Canis lupus familiaris: one gene and its partners. The protein of the gene in region 1 purifies or fractionates together with the protein of each later gene. This does not show direct contact. Links are inferred from orthologs where the notes say so. Each region holds a gene or a part of one and is shown in the gene's direction. Other genes may lie near its edges.

The links.
Region 2: the proteins of PTPN3 (region 1) and SHKBP1 purify together in Homo sapiens (affinity purification with mass spectrometry; 4 studies listed by BioGRID and IntAct, with this or other methods). This does not show direct contact. The link is inferred for Canis lupus familiaris from reciprocal best matches to the Homo sapiens genes PTPN3 and SHKBP1.
Region 3: the proteins of PTPN3 (region 1) and VANGL2 purify together in Homo sapiens (affinity purification with mass spectrometry; 3 studies listed by BioGRID and IntAct, with this or other methods). This does not show direct contact. The link is inferred for Canis lupus familiaris from reciprocal best matches to the Homo sapiens genes PTPN3 and VANGL2.
Region 4: the proteins of PTPN3 (region 1) and KCTD3 purify together in Homo sapiens (affinity purification with mass spectrometry; 4 studies listed by BioGRID and IntAct, with this or other methods). This does not show direct contact. The link is inferred for Canis lupus familiaris from reciprocal best matches to the Homo sapiens genes PTPN3 and KCTD3.
Region 5: the proteins of PTPN3 (region 1) and VANGL1 purify together in Homo sapiens (affinity purification with mass spectrometry; 4 studies listed by BioGRID and IntAct, with this or other methods). This does not show direct contact. The link is inferred for Canis lupus familiaris from reciprocal best matches to the Homo sapiens genes PTPN3 and VANGL1.

What each region holds. Positions count from the first base shown.
Region 1 is NC_049232.1:64,992,147-64,997,072, reverse strand, and holds the start of PTPN3 (tyrosine-protein phosphatase non-receptor type 3), read left to right. Parts: upstream 1-1,904; 5' UTR 1,905-1,970; coding exon 1,971-2,022; intron 2,023-4,926.
Region 2 is NC_049222.1:113,947,061-113,951,918, reverse strand, and holds the start of SHKBP1 (SH3KBP1-binding protein 1), read left to right. Parts: upstream 1-1,552; 5' UTR 1,553-1,605; coding exon 1,606-1,691; intron 1,692-1,927; coding exon 1,928-1,981; intron 1,982-2,132; coding exon 2,133-2,178; intron 2,179-2,282; coding exon 2,283-2,356; intron 2,357-2,636; coding exon 2,637-2,695; intron 2,696-2,907; coding exon 2,908-2,988; intron 2,989-4,460; coding exon 4,461-4,622; intron 4,623-4,718; coding exon 4,719-4,809; intron 4,810-4,858. Other genes in the region: SPTBN4 (spectrin beta chain, non-erythrocytic 4), read left to right, coding at 113-271.
Region 3 is NC_049259.1:22,648,461-22,652,768, reverse strand, and holds part of VANGL2 (vang-like protein 2), read left to right. Parts: intron 1-85; coding exon 86-222; intron 223-698; coding exon 699-834; intron 835-2,778; coding exon 2,779-3,010; intron 3,011-3,616; coding exon 3,617-3,877; 3' UTR 3,878-4,308. UniProt on the Homo sapiens protein: Involved in the control of early morphogenesis and patterning of both axial midline structures and the development of neural plate. Plays a role in the regulation of planar cell polarity, particularly in the orientation of stereociliary bundles in the cochlea.
Region 4 is NC_049259.1:11,679,013-11,683,814, forward strand, and holds the start of KCTD3 (BTB/POZ domain-containing protein KCTD3), read left to right. Parts: upstream 1-1,630; 5' UTR 1,631-1,645; coding exon 1,646-1,728; intron 1,729-2,702; exon of another isoform or gene 2,703-3,293; intron 3,294-4,802. UniProt on the Homo sapiens protein: Accessory subunit of potassium/sodium hyperpolarization-activated cyclic nucleotide-gated channel 3 (HCN3) up-regulating its cell-surface expression and current density without affecting its voltage dependence and kinetics.
Region 5 is NC_049238.1:53,739,542-53,743,849, forward strand, and holds part of VANGL1 (vang-like protein 1), read left to right. Parts: intron 1-2,002; coding exon 2,003-2,136; intron 2,137-3,622; coding exon 3,623-3,755; intron 3,756-4,308.

The sequences.
Region 1 (4,926 bases):
TACTGGCTTCATAGGGGCCACATGGACATAACCCTACTCACTCTAGCTGAGGTGGAGAAGGCCAGTGAGATCAAAGATACAAAACCGCAATTGTTTTATCATTAAGTTTCCTTTGGTTCTCTACTCGGATCTTAGTTCAGATCAGTTGCCCAAAATTGTGAGCACCAAATAGCTAGAATAACGAGGAAATTGTAGAATTGTAGCCTTTGCTTAGGTCTCCGAGAAGCACCAGTTGCACCCTACATCTGCTTCCTGTCAGCCACCACATTGCACTGCCCTCCTTCCCCTGGGCTACGGCTGGGGGTGAGGGGCATGCTTGTGCTTAGAGATATCAGGTACAGCCCAGGTTGGTTTGGTACATCCTGGAGGAGAAGGGACCTGTGCCTCACACCAGGTGACACCTGAGGAGAGATGGGGAAACAGTCTCCTCTGCCCACCTCCATGCACAGGATAGGAGGGAGCAACTTTAGAACAAAAATGACATATGACAAGGCTAGACCAAGAGGGCCTGAGATAGCCCTCCGGCATTCCCCAGATCCTCTGCGTGGCCCAGGAGAGCCACCAAACATCTCCCTTACAAGGAAGACACAGAAGCTAGCGGAAAGAAAGAGAGCTAGCAGTTCTACAGATGCCTCAAGATCACGTTTAAACAAACCGACAAACAAAAACACCACATAACAATGAATGCCAAAAAAAAAAAAAAAATGAATGCCAGCATTTTCCAAATGTCTGAAGACCAGACGGGCCACACATTTTAATAGCAGCCAGGATGGGAAGACCTCTGACCTCTGAAGGCCATACACATCCTCCATCTCTCTCTCTCTCTCTCTCACACACACACGCACACACACACACACACACACACACACACACTCCTTTCAGTGGCTTGAACTTATATACAACCATGGAAAAAAAGGGAGGGTTGGGGAAGTGCTGAGCCAGCTGAGAAAACCTAGAATTGACAAATTTCTACTACCAGAAGGAATTAGGGCCTGGGAGAGAAAGCAATTGAAGCTGTAGAAGAAGAAAGCCACCTTTGTGGGCAGATCTGAATTCTAAGTCCCCAGAGTCACACTCCCTACAAATGTTTGTTGATTGAATGAATGAACCAATTGTGTTGGGGGAAGGAAAATGTGTTGCATGCAGCCAGTTCCTTGGTAGAGCAGGCCTGGCTGTTCTCCAGGGAAAAATAGTAATTACTCAAAAGAGTATCTGCTCTCTAGCCCTCGCTCAGTGCTTATCTGTTGTTCCTTGAGCAGGTCGCAAGGTTCGTTAGGACTCGGTTCTCTGATCTGTAAAATGGGCATAATGAAATCTGCCCCGCCTTCCTCTTATCAGGAGAACAGATGGAGATAAGGTATAGGAAGTTGCTGTACATGGACTGTCAATTAGGACATGTGGATCCCCTCGGTCTTGGGATTCAAGAAGCAAGAGTAAATGAGCTCAAGGATGAGAGTTGTGGGGTACCCCTCTCCTCCACCAAAAGGTCTTAAGAGCCCACAGGGAGCAGTGACCAAGTTTTCCCTGCGACCACAGTAGTGCTACTGGGAGGCTTCCGAGGACTGCACTCTCCACATCACAGAGCATACTTCACCGGGAAGAAATTCTCGGGGCACGAAACAGATTTATTTTCATTGTGAAATCGTCCGTCTGCTATGCAACAACAAATTAAGCTCTGGGTGACTATTCCCGTAAAACACGTCCTGTGCTCAGCGCTGCTATTATGGGGTGGATCGCCGAGGTAAAGAATCAATTAAAACTCTGACACATTAAATGGAGCTCAAAGACCTGTTTCACAGGTTTCCCCAGAGGAAAATAATCACGTTGCATTATGCTTTGGGAGCCGATCGAGGCAAGAGTCCTGAGACAGGTTCTGGGGTTTACCAGACAGACTGCGGCCTTTCTAAGTCATTCTCGAAGCGCCACTCGCAGCGTTAGGGCATTCCACGCTCCCTTCGTCCCGGGGCACCATGGTCGAGCAAGAGGGATTATCGTCCTGCGGGCATCCTTCTCCGGAAAACCGTAAGTTTCCTGGAAACAAAGCATTTAAAGAAATGGTGGAAATATTGCGGTGTTTGCATTCACGCCCATTCTGGAATGGAAGCAAATGTCAAGCAAGGAAAACCAGAGGCCTAATAAAACTGAATATCCTTTCTATTTTTATAATAGGGCTTTGCCACCCAAAGGGGGGTCATGGTTTAGAAGGTCTGTTTCCAGAGAAGTTCTAGGATTTCAAGGGAAGCCTCACAAGAGAAAAGGAGAAAGAAGAAAGAAAGAAAGAAAGAAAGAAAGAAAGAAAGAAAGAAGGAAGGAAGGAAGGAAGGAAGGAAGGAAGGAAGGAAGGAAGGAAGGAAGGAAGGAAAGAAAGAAAGAAAGAAAGAAAGAGTTAATGCTAGAATGGGAATAATGGGAATAACGTTTGTGGTCGCACTGCTCAAACCATGTTTCCATGACAGCCGGTAGGAATGTTAACGTTAAGAACCTCGTGTGTGCTGGGCTAAGTCAGACATCTGTGTAAACCATCTTCGATCTCAGTGCCTGAGTAACTTCTGTGCCTCAACCTGAAAGAGGAGAAGAGATGTGGAAGTTCAGGCGGTGTCTTTTCAGCAGTGTGGCCTGCAAATGAGCTTCACAGCAATAAAGAACCGGACGAGGCCAAAGCAAGGCGAGTGTCAGCAGTGACCATTGCCCAGGGGACAGGTTGCGGCCTGCCAGCGCCACAGGCGTGGCAGGAAACGGTCGGGGGCGGGGGGGGGGGGGGGGGACCCAGCTAACCCCTGACTTTAGGGGCTCACTCAAAAGCAGAGAAAAGGCAACGCGAGGGTGCAGTGTAAATGTCCCACTTGCTTTTAAGATATTTTCCCCCCAGGAAAGCGAGAGAGACAGAAAGAAAAGGAAACTCGGAGGGTTAGGACAAGACGAAGCCTGCCCTTGACGTGCTCGGCTTTGGTTCAGAACAGGACATTTTTCAGAGGAAATGCTCTCATGGTGCAGGAATCCGTTCGGTTAGGAATGTAAACTGTGTGACAACTCTGTCACGAAGTCAACCGCCAGTAGCTCTGCTTCTTCCTTTTTTCAGGATGAGGAGGTGAGAAGGAGGTGGGATACCCTCTTTTTAATCAAGCGCGCTACTCACTAGAACTTTTCATAAAGAAAGACCTTTTGTTCTTTGCTCACGTTGCTGCCTCCATCCTTAAGTTCCCCTTTATTGCTTGGGGGCGGGGGGGGGGGGGAGAAAACTTTTTTACAGAATAATATGTACCGGGTGCACAAATGCTTTCCTAATCTTTGTGGAACAGAGGTCTCTCACAGCTACTGAGGGGAGCTCAGAATGTGCTGGCACCTTGGGATCTTGGGGTCTTGCCAAGGTCCTTGGGGCTGCAGGAATAGAGGGTGCCCTGCATTCTGGCCTCCCTCTCAACTCTGTCTCCTCAAAGGGGTACCCCAACCCCATTGAGTTCACAGGAAAAACAGTGCCCATTGCTTTAAAGGAAACCAAAAAATTGAGTATCACTAAAATATGCAACCTTTTCATTCGACCGAGAAAGGACTCTAACTTGCCAGAGAATTATAATGAGTTAGCTAAAGGCAAATCAGCAATAGACGCCAGGCATATGGATGACTGGTTCTAACTGGTTCTACTACACTGGTGTTCCCTTCCCCTTGTCCAAAGGAGTCGGCAGGCTCTTCTTCACCTCACCCACTCTCCATCTCCACTTAGCTCGTTACTCATATTCAAAGCTTTACCGCATACACCACATTTTCCTCAAGGATAAAACTGTATTTAGTCCTCCTAGAGTCAATCCAGTTCCACAAATATTTTATTTTATTTAAGATTTTATTTATTTATTCATGAGAGACACGGGGGTGGGGGGTTGTGCGGGCAGAGACACAGGCAGAGGGAGAAGCAGGCTCCATGCAGGGAGCCCGACGCAGGACTCGATCCCGGGACTCCAGGATCAAGCCCTGGCCCAAAGGCAGGCGCTAAACCACTGAGCCACCCCGGGATCCCACAAACATTTTACTGAGCACCTTCTCCATGAAGTCCTAGGCCCCCCTGAGATTCACAGATGAAGAAGACACAATCCCTGCTCTCAGATACGTATATAGCCTGTTATGATTTTTTTTTAATTTTTTTTAATTTATTTATTTATGATAGTCACAGAGAGAGAGAGAGAGAGGCAGAGACACAGGCAGAGGGAGAAGCAGGCTCCATGCACCGGGAGCCCGATGTGGGATTCGATCCCAGGTCTCCAGGATCGCGCCCTGGGCCAAAGGCAGGCACCAAACCGCTGTGCCACCCAGGGATCCCTAGCCTGTTATGATTAAAGGCATCTTCTAATTGTACTATGACAGAAATTCACCTGAATATATGGTGCTATTGAAACACAAGAGAAAGGAGAGGAAGACAGTCTGGCAGTTCCTCAAAACATTAAATATCGAATTATCATGTGACCCAGCAATTCCACTTTTAGGCCTATACCCAAAAGAATTGAAAACAGGTACTTAGACAAACACATGTATATGCTGCACTATTTACAATAGCCAAAGATGGAAGCAATCCAAATGTCCACCATCAATAGGTGAATGGGGAAACAAAATGTGGTATATTCATTCCATGGAATACTATTCAGCCATTAAAAAGAAATGATTTCAAGGGCACCTGGGTGGCTCAGTGGTTGAGCATCTGCCTTTGGCTCAGGGCATGATCCCGGGGTCCTGGGATCGAGTCCTGCATCGGGCTTCCTGCAGAGAGCCTGCTTCTCCCTCTGCCTGTGTCTCTGCCTCTCTCTCTCTGTCTCTTTTGTGAGTAAATAAATCTTGTTTTAAAAAATGGCATGAATTTCTAACACTGCCACCACCACAGCTGAGCCTCAAAAATTCTGCATTACTTAGAAGAAGCTAGACACAAAGTTCACTCATTGT
Region 2 (4,858 bases), on another chromosome or scaffold:
ATTTAATAGATTGGAAAACTGAAGTTCAGAGGGCAGTCGGATTCCAGGGTCATCTATTGCGCGGTCTCCCTTCTTCCAAAAGCGGACTCTGTTGCCCTGTTTCTCTCTCCAGGAGGAGATGAACGGCTGGCTGGAGGCCGTGGCCGCTTCCGTGGGCGAGCACGCTGAGATCGCCCGCTGGGGACAGACACTACCCACCACGTCCTCCACGGACGAAGGCAACCCCAAGCGAGAGGCGGGGGAGCGGAGGGCCAGCGGGCGCAGGAAGTGACTTCCCACCTTCTGGGCCTGACACACATCCCCGCCCCTCTCGCCGCACTGTGGGCAAAAAGACACTTTCTCTTCCGCAGGGGCGGGCGCCTCTAGTTCCACCAACACTGCGGACGCGCCAAGATGGGCACTGGAAAGGAGGGGACTTCTCCTGCACTCCAGGAAGTGGTGGGGGGATTGCTGCCCCTATAGCCATATCTCGGCCCCTTCCTGCTCGCCACCCCACCCCAGGTGCTGGGGCTCCATTATTTTTATGCAATAACTGAGTTGGAGGGGGCGGGTAAAGGGGCCAGTTGAGCCAAGCCCCCTGCCCGGATCTCCAGATCCTGCCCCAAGAAGCTGGGGTGGTAGGGGGCGATAATTCCTGCCCCCCTCTCCGCCCTAGGGATGGGCATGGGGCCGCTGGTGAGGTCCCCTGGACCATCCAGGGTGCTAGGGGGTGGGGAGGGGACGCCTCCTCCCCGCCTTTACCTCACTTCCAATGCTGCCTTGATCTCTGTCTGGGAAGGGGGAGTGAAGGGGCTTTGGCCCCTGCACTCCGCCGTCTCAGAGCCATGCGGTTAATTCCTGACTTAGTTTATTTTTGCAAAACGTCGACCTCCTCCCCCCCCCCCCCCCGCCCCGCATCCGCGAAGGCTTTTTAATGGGAGGGGCGTCAAAGCTCAAAACTGTCTTCCTCTCTCCTCCCCCCTCCAGCTGTAAATGCCACTTGGTGAGGGGAGGGGCGAGAGGAAGCCCTCCCCCCTGCATGCTTCTGGCCGGAGCACCTCCCTAGGGAGTGGGGGAACAGGGTTGTGGCAGCCCCCATGGTCGCCTGGAGGAGCCGCTGGGGCCTGGGGGTGTGGGGCGGTGTGGCAGGCGCACACTGTATGTACCTATAATAAATCCTTTGGCTTTGACGGTCTATGCCGGTTTGTTCGCGTTTAATGGGCCGCGCCTGCGAGGATGTATGGGGCGGGGGAGAGGGGGGCGGCGCAGGGAAAGACTAATGGCAGCAGAGAACTTTTAGATGTTCTCTTGATGTGTACTAATTTCGGGATTTAAACACACGTCCCTCACGAAACACCTAGATTCTAAAATTGGGAACCAGAAGGCTAGAGGAATGTTTTGCTGGCCCTTCTATCTAAACTTCCCCAAAGGGGCCTTGCGGTACGCCCCGTCCAGCACAGGAAAGGCGGGGCCCTTTAAGGAGGCGGAGAATTAACTGCTACGAGTGGGCGCTTTGTCCAATCGCCGGCGGCTCCGGGAGGCTCCAGGCCAATGAGCAGGCAGTGGGGGCGGGGCCCAAGTACAGACCCGGAAGCGGGTGCTGGCCGGCCGGCTCGCCCCGGGGCCATGGCAGCCGCGGCGCCTGCAGCCGACGGAGTCCCAGGTCGGGGGCCTCCCGGGGAGGTGATTCATCTGAACGTGGGAGGCAAGAGGTGAGTGTAGGAGATTCCTGAGGCCCCCACCTCGGGGGCGGGGAGCGGAGTGGGAGTACCCGCCTCTCCCGCGGGGAATCCTTGTCCATCAAGGATTGCTCCGCCTCCTGCTGAAGGCGCGAGTGCCCGGACTGACGCCCGAGGAGGGCCGGGTTGGGGGGGAGTCGGGGAGGGTAGGGGGCCGCGTTCCTTACTCTTCCTCCAACCCTTCGCGTCCGCTCACTTTCCCCCCGTAGATTCAGTACCTCTCGCCAGACTCTCACCTGGATCCCAGACTCCTTCTTCTCCAGGTGACCGGGAGAGCGAATTTGGGGCGGGCTGTGGGTGGCGGGAAGAGACGGTATGGGGAGACTTAATCCCCCCACTCACCCTCCCCCCGACCCCCCGTGCGCCCACACACACCCTGGCCCGTGACACCTGCTCTGTGTCCCCTCCCTACAGTCTTCTGAGCGGACGCATCTCAACACTGAAAGATGAGACTGGAGCCGTGAGTAGGGCATAGAGCTTAAATAGGGCAGTGGGTAGGAGGAGGGACTGGAGCCTCACTCAGCCCCGCTCTGCCCCATCCATCCTCTGCCTCCCTCCCCGCAGATCTTCATCGACAGGGACCCCACCGTCTTCGCCCCCATCCTCAACTTCCTGCGCACCAAAGAGTTGGATCCCAGGTCTGCATGGGGATAGAGGGACCCCACCGTCTTCATCTTCTTACCCTCAGAATGTTCCCTTAAGCCCCTCAATCCGATTTGAATTGTGTCCTTAGAGTTTAACCCAAACACACACACACATTTTCATTGCCCATCTATTTCATCGCTCCTTAGAATCTTGATCCAGTCAAAATTTGCTACCTCTTGCAATTCTCTGTGCAGTTTTGAAAGCTTCCTCCTCAGAATTCTCGACCAACTCCCACTCCCCAAACTCTAACCCCTGGTGAATTCTGCTACTCAGGGGTGTTCATGGTTCCAGCCTCCTCCACGAAGCCCAGTTCTATGGGCTCACTCCTCTGGGTAAGTGGGGGGCCCCATTAGCTTCCTCATTGCATAGAAAACGAACTCCTGCTCTCCTGATGCTTCTCTCCTGAAAGAAGTTAGGGGTAGCGCTGAGAGCACTGGATTTGGTCCTGGGTCTCAAGGGGGATGGGTGTAGAATGAGCTGGGGAGGGGGATAGGATGTGCCTCAGTACTCCCCAAGTCCCAGCCTTCGAGTTATTCCGCCTCAGTTCGCCGCCTGCAGCTGCGGGAGGAGTTGGACCGATCTTCTTGTGGAAACGTTCTCTTCAATGGTTACCTGCCTCCACCAGGTGGGCACAACTAAGGGATGGAGGGGAGGGAGGGCTGATGGAAGACTACATTTCCCATAAGGTCGAGGCCCTTGGTCGCCTGTGCTGTGAGCCCTGAGACACTATGGGAGTTGTAGTTCTATATCAGAGGCTGGATTGAGGGAAAGGAAGTAGGAGACTGCATTTCCAATGAGGCAGTCAGTGGGCCAGCTACCTGCCCTGAGGCTCAGAAGTGTGCCCTAGAGCCTGAAGGGGGTCTCAGTCCAGGTTTGATTTCCTTGTGGGGAAGCTTAGGAAGAAATGGGGTCCTTTGCAGGGAGGGGAGAAATATAAAGGGGGGGTTATTGACTAGAATCTTCATGGGACGTTAGATCAGCAACCCCCGCAACCCCAGCTGGCCATGGACAATATACCCCAGTGGTTATTGGGAACTGTAGTCTATGAGGCTTTGCTGATGAGAAAAAGGAATAAAATGGGGAAATTCGACTTACAACTACTTCCCTAACCTTGCTCAATACCTTCATGATGTTTGTCAAATACGGAGATCTGTGCTTTTGTTTTCTTAGTTTTACTGTGTTGGGTTTTTTTTAAGTCTTTTTTTTTTTAATAAAAGTAAATTTTTAAATAAAGATTTTATTTATCGATTCATGAGCTCGTGGGGCTTTGGGGGAGCATGACACACACAGAGGCAGAGGGAGAAGCAGACTCCCTGCGGGAAGCCTGATGCAGGACTCATCCCAGGACCCCAGGACTATGACCCAAGCCAAAGGCAGGCATTCAAACACTGAAAAAACCCAGGTGCCCCTAAAAAGTCATTTTTTAAAGTTTACTTTTGTAAGTAATCTTTATAATCCATGTGGGGCTCAAAATTCACAACCTCAAGGTCAGGAGTTTCAGGTTCTTCCAACTGAGCCAGCCAGGTGCCCTGTACAAAAGTCATTTTAAATAGAAGCTTTTTATCACTACCTTTATACCTTGAATAAGTAAACGTGAATATAAAATCCCCAGGGCTCCTGGGTGGCCCAGTTGGTTGAGCATCTGCCTTCAGCTTGCGTCAGGCTCCTTGCTCAGCAGGAAGTCTGCTTCTTCCTCTCTTCTGTACTTGTGCACGCTCTCTCTGCCTCTCAAATAAATAAATCTTTCAAAAAAAGAAAAGAAAATCTCCAAATACCAGTGTTGGGATGCTGCTGCCTGCCAACGAGGTAGGCTTCCATTTCTTAAAGCAAATACTGAAAAGGGAGCACTGTTTTGGCAGCACCAAGCTGATTTGTCCTTTGTGTGCAGCTCAGAGGAATAGAAAAGGGAGTAGCTTGCTGTGTGATTCAGTGTCGTTCGTTGCCCGCCGTGTCCCCACACCACCTAAAATCTTTTTGGCAGGAGACTGTGCCCCACATGTGGGCAAGTCAGTATCTGGCATATTTTAGGTGCTTGTGACGTGGCAATTGCTACAGTTATTACAATCATTGTCACTCTGCTCCTTCTCCCTGCCATAGTGTTTCCAGCAAAGCGGCGGAACCGGCACAGCCTGGTGGGGCCCCAGCAGTTAGGGGGACGCCCAGCCCCCGTTCGACGCAGCAACACAATGCCCCCCAACCTGGGCAATGCAGGGCTGCTGGGCCGAATGCTGGATGAAAGAGCCCCTCCCTCTCCCTCCGGTAGGCTTCGGTCCCCTGGGAAGCTGGGGCAGCCAGCCTGGGGGAGGGGGTGCTGTGACCCTGCCCTGATCGCTCTTCTTCCCCCCACCACCCCAGGGCTACCGGAGGAGCCAGGGATGGTACGCCTGGTGTGCGGACACCACAACTGGATCGCTGTGGCCTATACCCAGTTTCTTGTCTGCTATAGGTGCTCAGGGAGGGTGGTGGCTGGAGGCTGGAGCCCTGTTAATGGGAAG
Region 3 (4,308 bases), on another chromosome or scaffold:
CTTTCCTGCCCTGCCTACCTGTCCTGATGTCTCCCTCCCCCGGCCCCCCTTGTCTGTCCCCCACCCCCTGCCGTCTCCCCCACAGCATCCAGCGCGTGGCCGTGTGGATCCTGGAGAAGTATTACCATGACTTCCCTGTCTACAACCCCGCCCTCCTCAACCTGCCCAAGTCCGTACTGGCCAAGAAAGTGTCTGGCTTCAAGGTGTATTCCCTCGGAGAGGGTGAGCGGCCCGGCTCCCCTGCCCTGCCCGGCTCTCCGGCTTCCGGCTGTCCGTCCATCCCCGTGAGCTGGGCTCTGTCCCTGCTCCCTGTTCTCTCCACCTCCTCTGGCCTTCCCCCCCTCCTTTTGTTCTGTCCTTCCCCTTGACTCCAGGTGACTGAGGTCAGCTACTGGTTCTGCTCCCTGTCCCTTGATGCTGTGCCACCTGCCCCCTCCCCCAATCTGGCTTCTCTGCGTCCGCTCACCAGCCCCCATCCTAAGCCCTCAGCTCTCTGAGCTCCAGGGCCTCCTGCCCTCTCGCCTTCCCTGTTGCTGGCCTGTGGGCCTGTGCTGACCAGGAGGGCTGGGAATGGGACGTATGGCAGGAGGCGGGCACAGCGTCCTCTGGGTGTGTCAGTTTGCTGTCCCTGGACTCCCCGGGATGGGAAGTGAGCCTGCGGTGCAGTGACCCTGTCCGTGTCTCCTGCTCCCGCACAGAGAACAGCACCAACAACTCCACGGGCCAGTCCCGGGCCGTGATCGCGGCCGCGGCTCGGAGGCGGGACAACAGCCATAACGAGTACTACTACGAGGAGGCCGAGCACGAGCGGAGGGTGCGCAAGCGGAGGGCCAGGTGGGTCCCTGGGCCGGGCGGGGGCGGGGGCACTGCTGCGGGGCCCCGTGACTGCGGGGGGCAGGTGAGCAAGCATGATGGGGTGCGATGCGTGCATCCGCGTCCTGTGGCCGCCCTAAGTCCCAGGAGCTGGGCGCTCTTGCACAGCAGGCTCTTCAGCTCAGGTCCCACGGGGCAGGCCCGGCTCAGCTGGGCCCTCCGCTCAGCGTCGCAGGCCGAAATGCAGACGACTCTCGGAGCCGGTGCCCTCCCAAGCTCCCCGGCCGTTGGCGCTGTCATTCCGGGTCGCTGGCCCCATGGGCAGTTCGCTTTTCCCAGCCAGAGCAGGGCTGTCTGGCTTCGTAACACCTGGAGAAAACTGCGTTTCAAGGTCTCCTGTGAGAAGGCCACGCAGGCCACGGTCATCTCCCCGGCGACAAGTCCGAGTCCGCTGGTTGGGCGCTTGAGTTGTATCTGCAAAATGTACCGAGTTAGCGGAGTAGCCGGGCGCTGGGAATGTGCTGGCGGTGAATGAAGGGAACGTTCTAGAATTCTGGGTGCCGCCGGGAGCCGGTGAACTGCAGGAGCCTCTCCTGCAGCACAGGGGCTGCGGCCAGACCCCCCACCCCACGCGGGACGCTGCTCCCGGCCTGTGGAAAATGAGGGTGCGGCGCTCCGTCCCGGTGCCTCTTAAACACCGTCACGTTGCTTCCGTTCACGTTATCCTGCGCACGTCAGTCGCCTGAAGAGTCTCCTGGTGATGCTGCTGCCCGGTCCCTCGTGGCCTGTGGCGATTTCCACGGGCCTCGGCAGGAGAGGGCCCCAGGCCTTGACCGTCGCCGCTGCTGCCCCTCTGCCCACGCCTCCAGGCTGCAAGGGAGGACGGTATCCCGTCCCTGTCCCCCCGTGAGGAGCTGTCACTTCTCTGCCTCCGGTTGCCTCAGAAGGGGGCCTGGTGGGAAGGAGCCCAGAGACGCGCACGCCCCCCTCACCCTGACCCCAGGCAGGGGTTTTGGGTCCCCTGCGTTGCCAGTGCTCTCTGGGGTCTGCTTCCTTCCCCTCTTACCCGGGTTGTAACCCGGAGAGAGCTTGTCCCGTGTGTCACCTGAGATGAAAGGGTTTTTTCCAAAGGACGTTGACTGAGACGCTCAGGGGAAGCTCAAGAATAACAGAGACACTGGCCGCACCCCGGCCCCCTTGCCCTGCGCCCAGAACCCTGCCCTCAGCTGCCCGAAGTCCCCCGGTTCCTGGGGTTCCCGACGCGGCCGTGTCCCCGTCTACTTTCTACGTGAACTGGCTACTTTTCCCTGCTCCCTGAACGCCGTTGGTGAGCTTGCCCCGTTGCCTGGGATGCGGCCGGTGGTGTCTTGTCGCCGCCTGGTGTTCCCGATGACCACTCGGCGCCCCCCGCGGGGCTTGGATTCCAGGGCCGCTCCCCGCCCTCGTGTCTCGGTGGCCACGGGACACTTGTCTTCTCCGGCTGCTGACCGGCCACCGCGCCGGCCTCGTGCGCCGCAGCGTCCCTCCCAGGCCTCGACGACCGGTGGCCCGGCCTGGCCGCCTGCTGCAGCGTTCTCGCCTTCTGCTTCCCAGTGTGTCGTCAGTTAGTAGCATAACCACCTCCCCCCGCCGGATGTTAACGTTGCCTCCGCTGCCGGGGTGTGCGCGGTTTGGGGTCTCCTGTGGGAAGGGGTCTGCAGGTGAGGCTGTGCTGCTCTGTCGCAGAGCATGGTCCCTGCCGCCTCGGTGTGACGCTGGGCCCCTGTACCCGGGCTCCCCGAGTCTACAGCTGTTTACTGCCCCTCCCCCATGCACATGCACCTGCGTCCCCGCACCAGCCCCCATAGCCCAGCCCTTGGCTCCAGGTGGGTTTGTGTTATTTCGGGAGTAGGGGGGCTGCTGGGGGGTGGGAGCCGAGGGAACGATGGGGGTGGGCGTCTGGTCCAGGCCCCTCCTGTCCCCCAGGCTTGTGGTGGCAGTGGAGGAGGCCTTCACTCACATCAAGCGGCTGCAGGAAGAGGAGCAGAAGAACCCCAGGGAGGTGATGGATCCCCGGGAGGCAGCCCAGGCCATCTTTGCCTCCATGGCCCGCGCCATGCAGAAGTACCTTCGCACCACCAAGCAGCAGCCTTACCACACCATGGAGAGCATCCTGCAGCATCTCGAGTTCTGCATCACTCACGACATGACGCCCAAGGTAGGCCTGCTGTGCTGCCAGCATCCCGCCTCGCCCCCGGTCCGCCGTGGTCTCACTGCCCCCGCCCTGCAGCCCTGCCTTCTCCCCCCCCCCACCCCTCTCTCTCCCTTCCCCCTGTGGTCTCTTCCTCATCCCTGCCCCCCTGATCTCTGCTCTGAGTCAGGTTCCTGGGTGATGAGCAGGGGCAGCTTCCAGGTTCTCCTGGGAATGGCTGAGACGTGGTCCCCATCTCTGCAAGGGTCTGCGGTTGCCGCCCCCAAAATTCCCCCTCTGCCCCTTCACCTGCTCTTGATTGTCAGCCTCCCAGAACTGCATCCCCAACCGCTTGGTGAGCAGGGTGACGGCCTCCATGAGAGCAGAATGGAATCGGGGGGCCTGGGGTCCTGGCCTGGTGCGGGGCACGTGCCGGCACGCATGTCCTGACCCCGTGGCACCCCCATTCTCCATGGGCTCTGTTTCCCCACGTTCAAAACAAGGGTCTGAAGCAGATGAGCTCAGCCCCTTCCTGCTCTGATGTTCTAGATGGTGTGGAAGCTGTGCCTCCGGGGGGCGGAGGGTGGCGGGTGGCCGGGAGAGATGCCCACGCAGTCCCTGACCTGTCCTCAGGCCTTCCTGGAGCGGTACCTGGCGGCCGGACCCACCATCCAGTACCACAAGGAACGCTGGCTGGCCAAGCAGTGGACACTGGTGAGCGAGGAGCCCGTGACCAACGGGCTCAAGGACGGCATCGTCTTCCTCTTAAAACGCCAGGACTTCAGCCTGGTGGTGAGCACCAAGAAGGTCCCGTTCTTCAAACTCTCGGAGGAGTTTGTGGATCCCAAGTCACACAAGTTTGTCATGAGGCTGCAGTCTGAGACCTCGGTGTGACTGAGCAGCAGCGGCGGGGGACGCGGGGTCCTGCGGGTGGGGGAGGGCTTGGCTCTCGCCTCCTGCCGCCTCTGTCCTCCTGCCCCCGTTTACTTTTACTTGAATTGACTCCCCCACCCATGTGCTCCCCTCCTCGTAACTGCCCCGCGTGAGCCTGAACAGGCCACTGCGCCAGCAGAGCCTGGGAAGCACCCCCCCGCCCAAGCCCTCACTTGGTGACATCATGCAGGAAGCCTGTGCCTCTCCCCCTCCCTCCGGGATGGCAGTCCTTTCCGAGCCCCCACTTCCTAACAAGGCAGGTTCTTGTCGCAGCTTCCTTCTGTGGCCCCGACAGAGCGTCTTTGGGGCACAGATGGGACCGCAGAGAGCCTTGGTGCCAGACTCCTCCAGATGGTGGGTCCCAGCCCCTCCTGCCTGCTCACCTGCAGGGT
Region 4 (4,802 bases), on another chromosome or scaffold:
AGGTAAGGCATTAAGTCTTTTTTTTTTTTTTAAAGATTTTATTTTTAAGTAATGTCTGCACTGAAGCTGGGGCTCCAGCTCAGGACCACAAGATCAAGAGTCCTGGGCTCTTCCCACTGAGCCAGCCGGCGCCCCAAGGTAGGCATTGGGTCTTGATGGGGCTTAGCAAAAGCGACTCCCTGTTGGGCCTGTTACTTTTCAAGGCAGGTCAGTACTATGGATGAATGAGCTCTGGAACGTGGTGCACCGCCTCTGTTAGCTGACATCAGGTATTATAGTGCTGATTCTTTTTTTTTTTTTAAGATTTTTATGCATTTATTCATGAGACACAGAGAGAGAGAGGCAGAGGCACAGGCAGAGGGAGAAGCAGGCTCCCTGCAAGGAACCCCACGTGGGTCTCGATCCCGGGCCTCCAGGATCACGTCCTGAGCTGAAGGCAGGTGCTTAACCGCTGAGCCACCCACGTCCCTAAGGTTTTATTTTTGGGAAGGTTCAATTTTTAAGTAACCTCTATGCCTAAGGTGGGGCTTGACCCTGCCAACCCCGCAGATGGCGCCAGGCACCCCTCCTTGTGTGAGGATTTTTTAAATCGCGCTTCAGCAGCCTCCACGTTTTCAGGTTCCAATACATATACTACCGAAAGCAGACATTTATTTATATTATATATATATATATGTTTCAGGTGTGTGACCTACTTTGAACGCTTACTATATCCCAGAGACGCACTGCCCTGCACGGGCTACGGGGGGTTCCTCGCTTGCCCTCGGCTTCCTTCCCTTCCCTGCCTGGCAAAGCAAGGAACAAAACTGCTTGGGGGACCCGGGTTGAGGCTGAGGGAGTAACACGGTAGGGAATTCTCTCAGGTAAACGCTGTAAAAAAAAAAAAAAAAAAAAGTTACAAAACCCCCAGGTTGCATTGGCTTTGCCCGGCGGGGCTCTGGAGGCGGAGGCGGAGGCGGAGGCGGAGGCGGAGGCACCGAGCACCACCTCCCGGGCACCGCGCCGCCACGTCCCGAGCCACGTGGGGCCAGGAGGGCCGCTGGAGGAGGGCGGCGGGCAGGGGGTCGGGGGGCCGGGGGGCCGCGGGGCGGCGGGCAGGGGGCAGGGGGGCCGCAGCTCGTTCCCCACGTCCCCGCGCGCCGCGGCCGCGAAGCTCCTCCCCGCCCTTCCTGCCGCCGCCGCGGGCGAAGCGCTGAGCGCGGCGGTGTTTTGTCCCCAGCGGCGACCCCTCGTCCCGCGCAGGCTGCGGCTGCGGCGGCCGCCGTGGCGGTGGCCGTGGCGGTGGCGGTGGCGGCGGCGGCGGCTGCCGAGCGCTAGGACAGGCCCGCGCCGGCCCTGCGGCCTGGAGGCCGGGAGAGGCGGAGGCCGGGCCGCCCCCCGGCGCCGCGGGAGCGGAGGGGACCAGGCGGCCGCCCGGGAGCTCGGCCCCGCCGCCGCGAAGGTGGGGGAGGCCCCGCGCCCCTCCCGCCCTCCGGCCGCCGCCGCCGCCCCGCTGGCCCTGCCGCCCCCGCCCCCGCCGCCGCCGCCGCCCCCGCCGCCGCCTCGGGCTCCCGCCGCCGCCGCCGCCGCCGCCGCCGCCGCCGCCTCGGGCCCCACGGCCCCGGCCGGGGAGGGCGGGCGGCGTGCGCGGCCGGAGCCGCCGGAGATGGCGGGAGGGCACTGCGGCAGCTTCGCCGCGGCGGCGGCCGGCAGCGCCGAGATCGTGCAGCTGAACGTGGGGGGGACCAGGTGAGTCGGCGGGGAGGGCCGCGGGGCCGCTGCGGGGGGCGGGGACGGCTGTCGGGGGGACCCGGTGTCGGGGGGGAACCGGGTGTCGGGGGGGAATCGGGTGTCGTGGGGGTCCCGGTGTCGGGGGGGAACCGGTGTCGGGGGGACCGGGTGTCGGGGGGGAACCGGTGTCGGGGGGGAACCGGTGTCGGGGGGGAACCGGGTGTCGTGGGGGTCCCGGTGTCGGGGGGGAACCGGTGTCGGGGGGACCGGGTGTCGGGGGGGGACCCGATGTCGGGGGGGGAACCGGGTGTCGTGGGGGGAACCGGGTGTCGGGGGGGAACCGGTGTCGGGGGGACCGGGTGTCGGGGGGGACCCGATGTCGGGGGGGGAACCGGGTGTCGTGGGGGTCCTGGTGTCTGGGGGGAACCGGTATCGGGGGGGAACCGGTGTCGGGGGGAACCGGTGTCGGGGGGGACCGGGTGTCGGGGGGAACTGGGTGTCCGGGGGGAACGGGGACGAGCGTAGGTGGGAGGCGAGCGGGTGGGGCAGGCGGGGGCGCCGGGCGGAGCGGAGGTCGGTGCCCCGGGAGGGGAGGGGCGAGGGGGCGGGGGCGCCGGGGCCGCCCTCCTCGGACGCCAGCCCTGCCCCCCGCCGCCTCGTTCCAGGCGCTCAGGCTCGGGCACGGGAGCGAGCGTACTTGGGCGCGCTCTGCGGAAGCCCGGCCTTGTGGCTTGGCCCTTGCGCCGCAGCCTGCCGCCGCCTCGGTGCCCCCTGAGGCGGGAGCGCGGGGTCGGGTGCTCAGGGTCTGCGCGCGGGGCCTTGAAGCGCGGGTCGGGAGCTGCGGTTGCGGCGGTTGCGGGGGTTGGCCCTGCGCGGCCTGGCGCGCACGTGGCCCCCTCCCCTCCTCCTCCTCCTCCTCCTCTCCCGGCCTTCCGCTCCCTGCCTCTGCCTTTTATTGAGCTCGGGGGGCGGGGGGGGGGGGGGTCAGTTTTTGTGGATTCGCTATGGTTTATGACTCACCCTTCTCAGAAATGGGACTTTGCCAGCTCTGTTGGAAGGAAGGGGTTGGTGAGGCTCAAGCTTGGTAGGAGACGAACGACGAGGTCCTTCCAGAATATCCCTGGGTTTCGACACCCAAGACCTGACCAGTATTTTTTTAAACGCGGAACAGCAGCAGTGTGAGCCGGAGGCATAAGATGTGTCGGGTTTTAATCCTAAACATTCAGTCATTTTCTAAGTGTGCTAGAGAATGCAATGCAAGAAACAGTAATTCTTCATCCCTTCCTGTTCTTTCTTTTCCCGAGCACCGGGAAGCACAACTGCTTAGCAGTGTAAGATGGGACGTCATCGTGCTATCGAGATACCCATCTTCTGAAGGTCTATGGCTCCCGATGTAGGAAATGGACTTTTCCCCCCTAAAATCACATGACATTTTTGCAGGTTTGGTAATTTCTGGATGCAAAGAATGGAATAACCCACAAGAGCTGGCGTTCAGTGTTTGTTAATGCTGAGGAGCAGCACTATAGCCCCTTAAAATCCCTGCACACAGCCCTAATTTCTGTAGATTGCTGCAATCTTTTCAGGTATTCTAAAGGACATACACCATTATGATAAAAATTAAATGTATTATTATTTACTGTATATTGAGAGTGGGTGGTTTAATAATGAGTGAATTCCTGTTAATGACTGTAGAATTCAGTTTATACTTTTAAATCCTAAAAGGCAGCCATCTTGGAGCTGGAACATTTTATTTTCTTTTACTGTGTATGGAACTTGATGGTAACAGGTTCTAAGTTTCCTAAGTGATGATATTAGCAAAGAATACAAAATAAGGTGAACGTATTATTAGATTGAACAATTTAGAAGACATGAATGTTGTTAGATAGGAATGAGAAATAAAACCACAGACTTTAAATTTGCTAGGATAACATAGTTTATAAAAAAAAGTAATGACATGGCCTTTACAAAAAATAGAACGTAGGACTCCCTGTATGCTGAGGATATTTTCTTGAGTTACTTTGAATCATATACTCTTGGAGTGTTTTAGAGCTGGAAGGGATCCAGAAGTCATCTCTGTGTTGTGCAAAACATATTAACACAGTCACTTAAACCATTGTAAAGAAAAAAAAAGATCCTGATTTCATTGTCATTAAAGTTGAGCAATTGCCGCTGGGAGAACCACCTGTGGCATAGAATGGACGCAGGCTCTGGGGTGATAGAGTAAAACTCAGGAGAGTATATTGTGAGCAGAGAAGCATATGCTACAGGGTAAGGTCTTTCCCCTCACCCACTCCAAGAGAGGAAGGATATGAAATTGGAAATACTCGAATTATAAAAATGAGCAATTTTTTTTTATGATTTATTTAATGCTTTGTGAGTGATTCAGGAAGCGGAGGAGATGAGATTGCATTTAGGATTGACATTGTTTACAAAAAAAAAACACTAAAGAAGTGAAAGAAACCTAATATGACTCTATTTGTGATTAATTCTGTTATGAATGAGTATGATTTGAAGCCTCACGAGAAAGGTTTGGGACCAGCTAGTGGGGGACTTAGAGACAAAGGACTTTGGAATCATGCAGATATGTGGGTACCAGTTCCCAGGCTTAAACTCTAACTAGCTCAGCATCCTAGGACAAGTTATTTTTTAGTGCTTAGTTTTCATAAGATCTAAATGACAATAATAACACCAACCTTATAGGATTGATAAAGGAATTTGAAGTAATGAGAAATGCAAGGGTTGATGGCATGGTAACATTGCAGAATAAATAATTTTAATTAGATTGCTTCCAAGTTAGAGGCAAATGGCAAGAGTCTAAATGTGGATATGCTAATGTTTTTAGTGACATTTTTGCTGAGAACAGATTGGACATCGCCCTTTACTTGGCCCACTGTGGGTATGTGATAAAAAACATTAGAAGAGGCTTTCATATATGTTGCAGAAAATTATGCTTATCATATGTGATTTTAAACATCATTTTTATAAAGTCATACTTGGAACTTAGTTTTGAAGATCTGTGAGTTTTTTTTTGTTTTTGTTTTTCCCCATTTGCCGCCTTCTTGTTTGAATAAAGAAAAAATTGGTGTGGGTGA
Region 5 (4,308 bases), on another chromosome or scaffold:
GAGGCTGGGTGTTCCAAAGCTCTTCTCCACATTCCCCCGACCCACGCATATTCCAGTTAGCTGCCTGGCCTTGGAGCCGCTCCTGGTGTCCTGTCTTTGCATGCCCAGGGCTGGGCGGATGGAGGCTCTCAGCGTGAAACGGATGATGAGCAACTGGGTAATGAATGAGCAGGGCTTTGAAAATGTAGATTTGCTCGTAGGGCTCTTCTACTTCCATGATACAGGGTATTTTCACCAGATTCTTCCAGCCCCCCATGAGTGTGCAGGTCAAGGCCAGTACTAAGCAGCAAGACTGTGGATCGAGGCACCGTGGGAGGTAACTCAGAAAGCTTTGCCATGACTGCTCTTGAGGAGGTTAGCTGATTGACTTCTAGATCGTTTTTCGATCTCGTGCTAAACGACAGGAGTCGAGCAATGGGTTGACAGCGTGTCCAGCCAGTAGGTTAGAGGCTGCATTGTCTCAGTGTAAAGTGAACATCCGCAAGCTATGCAGAGTTAGGGTGGTCATCCAGGAACCCAAGGCAGCTACGTCTTGGCTCCCAGGCTGTTGTGAGTAATCCTTATAACCACACCTGCTTAGCAGGTCTAGGGAGGAAAATATAAAGGGCAAGGTAAAAATAAATTAGTGGAGGGATGCCTGGGTGGCTCGGGGTTGAGTGTCTGCCTTTGGCCCAGGGTGTGATCCCAGAATCCCAGGATCGGGTCCCACGTTGGACTTCCTGCATGGAGCCTGCTTCTCCCTCTGCCTGTGTCTCTGCCTCTCTCTGTATCTCTCATGAATAAATAAATAAATAATCTTAAAAAATAAATACATAAATAAAAATAAATGAGTGGAGTTGGCATCGGTATGCACACTGTCCCACAGAGGTCACACATCCCAGGGAAAGAGCGCAGGTTGGGGGCTTGTAAATCCAGATTGGACTTGCAGCTCTCCTGTTTGGTAGATGCATGCTGTGTGCTGGTCAGAGGTTTTTCTGAACCTCAGTTTTCTTACCTTGAATGATTGTGGAAGTCAGACAAGATGGTGCATGAAAATCCGTGCTGTATTAGTACAAGTTTCTCATCGAAGTGGTGAGTTGCCCACATCTATGGCCAAGAGTGAGTTCTTTTGCTGCCAGTAGGGAGTATGGGTGCTCCCCCTCCACTGCCCTCCCACCTGTTGGTGTTTCCTATTCTCTGTTCCTCTGCTGCTGTCTGAGGAGCCAAACAGGTGACAGCAGAGGTCAAGGACATTAAGGCAAGGAGAGTCCCCTGTGTCCCCTCATCCCAGCTGAGGGCCAGAGACAACAGTCCTAGAGGCAGAAGGCCTCACAGACCAAGAAGGATCAGAATCTCAGCAGAGGGCTCGGAAGGGGGTCTTGCTTTCTCTGAAAGAGGGAGCTCCAGCTGGCCCAGGGCAGCCCAGAGGATGGAACCTCGGGATTCATTAACGTCTACAGCCAGCTGCTTTCGTGTGCCCCCTGCCCTGTGTCCTGTACAGTTGTAGTTTGATCTCTGTGGAACCCAAAACCCAGCCTTCCTTACAGCAAGAGACAGGGAAAGGGGGGCGGGGGTGGAGCTTAGAGGAGACCCTGTACTGGGACCTGAGAAACCTGAGTCTACACTTTGTTCTTTCACCCATTCGTCCTGCCACCATCTTTAGGTCTCTTGACTGTTCCGGGAGCCTCCGTCTCTTCCTCTGTAAACTGGGAGAAATGGGAAAGTTCTGTGCGGCCTCAACAAACCTAAGTTACAACTGATTCCTTTCTCAACTCTTGGCTAGATGAGGTGGATATAGCCTGGGAGGAGGCCAAGAAGCCACTTGATGACCGAACTCAGTTTCACCTTTCAAGTCTCATCCTGGAGACAAATGGCATGGTCAGAGCCAGGAGCCTGCCACTACAGGAGGTTACCAGTAGTGTTCCGCCCTCCCTCCCTCCAAAAGAGGATTTATTTTTGTTGTCATTTGGGACCTGCTTCTTCGATGAAAAAGCATTGCATTAATTTTGCTCTCTTTTCTCAGTATCCAGCGAGCAGCATTGGTGGTTCTGGAAAATTACTATAAAGATTTCACCATCTATAACCCCAATCTCCTAACAGCCTCCAAATTCCGAGCAGCCAAGCACATGGCCGGGCTGAAAGTCTACAATGTAGATGGTACGTGCCTTGAAATGGCGTCTGTGGTTGGTGGGTGTAGGGGGCACAGGTTGGACGACTCTTTAACTTAAATTTTATGGTCCGTTTTGTTTTCCCTCCCCTCAGTGTCTGTCTTTCTGGTACACTCTCAATTCAGAACAATTTTTGTCTTTTCTCTTTCCTTTCCTTTTTGTTTTCTTTCTTGCTTGCTTGCTTGCTTGCTTTCCTTCTTTCTTTCTGCAGGCAAATATACTTTCAAAGGAATGTTGATTTACAGTCTATACATGTGGGAGGTTCATTCATTTTGGGGTTTTCTGATTGAAAACAATAGTGATGTGTGTTTCCTGCCTCCTGGTGGGAACATCTATGGAAAGCTGCTTTTCAAATTTTGGATCAGTTACTTAAAGGCTCCATGAAGTCAGTAACTCTCAGTAGCTCAGGCATCTGGTGAGATACTTCCAGGGATTTCTCAATCCTGGCTGGGAGCTGGGGCTGAGTGGGTGGCAGGAGGCCAGAGGCCAAGCCGAGGACATGAGAGCTGCATCTCAGGCTATCAGATGGTTCAGTGCAAGAAACAGGACACAGTGTCATTTCTTGCTGGGTGTCTTGGGTCAGAGCAAGAGCTCTGTAGAGCCTAGAAGAGGACCATAGTGTTAGCAAGTCACGTGATCAATGGACGGTTGTCAATTTTTACTGAGGATACCCTCCCCATTTTGGCGAGGGTGGGGGTGACCGGGAGGGGGGCCTTTATAAGATGTGTGTTCAGTTGGAATTCCCAGAGGGTTGGTAAACGTCACCTGTGATCTGAAAACTTACTGAAAATTCCCACTGGTGAAACCAAACCATTAACCAAATAGTTGATACAGAAGAAAGCGTGTGATATGCTTTGTCCTTCTGAAAAGTTAAGGTGATCTGTGGTCAGGGCACCAGGGTGGGGAGTTGCGAGTCTGTGTTCACAGACGTGCCGTATTGCAAGTCCTCAAGTATTTTGTTTTTTTATTAAAATTGTGACTCCGGTGACATTCCAGCATGGCTTATTGTCCTGTGCGTAATCAGTGTCTCTGTGTCCCCTGACTTTCTTTCTCTCTGTGCTTGTTCTCCCCATCCCTCTCATTCTCTCTCATTGTCTTGTTGCTGAAATGTGATGTTCCAGCTACCCTTATGGCCAAACTGCAGCTTTATGTAACAGATGGTGAGTAACCTCTACAGCATTCTCTTGTGTGTTATCTTTGGCCAACATTTTCATTGTCCGGCATTCTTCATCTCCTTCTGAGTTCTTTTTCCATTCCTACTGATCAAATTGGGTTTCGGGGAGATTTCCTTCTCATGAGCATACCGAATGTGAGCCAGGAGTACCATCCACCCTTTTGGAAGTTTCTTTTGACATTTGTGTATGTGCCTCTCAGAAGGTGGGTGGATGGTCTCAACAGACCATGGTACTAGTTTCCTGCTGTTTTGCAGCCTCTTGGCATTAAAACTGTTCTTCCTCCATTGTCCTTCCCCAAAGGCCCCAGTAACAATGCCACCGGTCAGTCCCGGGCCATGATCGCTGCAGCCGCTCGGCGCAGAGATTCAAGCCACAACGAGTTGTATTATGAAGAGGCAGAGCATGAGCGGCGGGTGAAGAAGCGGAGAGCAAGGTGCGTTGCCCCCCACACCCGACACCAACACCCTATTGTAGCAGACTTTTGATTTTTTTATCTTTTTTACTGCTAGAATGAAATCTCAGTGTATAAACGTGAGCTCCTCGAGCCTTGGAAGTGTTCCTGCTCGATTGTTTCGTGTGCACCATCATCACCAGGAGGGCTTATTAAAGCACAGATCTTTTTTTTTTTTAAGATTTTATTTATTTATTCATGAGAGACACGGAGAGAGGCAGAGACACAGGCAGAGGGAGAAGCAGGCTCCATGCAGGAAGCCTGATGTGGGACACGATCCTGGGACTCCAGGATCACAACCTGAGCCAAAGTCAGACACTCAATCACTGAGCCACCCACGCGTCCCTTAAAGCACAGATCTGAGGCTCTGAGGCCCCACCTGCAGAAGTGACTGACTTACTATTCAGTGGGGCTGGAGTTGGGCCCAAGAATTTGCATGTCTTACAGATTCCCAGCTGATGCTGACTTCCTATGGCCCATGCTTGGAGCAGCCCCCTAGCCCACCCCCAGGCCCTTGTGGGTTCTAAGGTTCTGA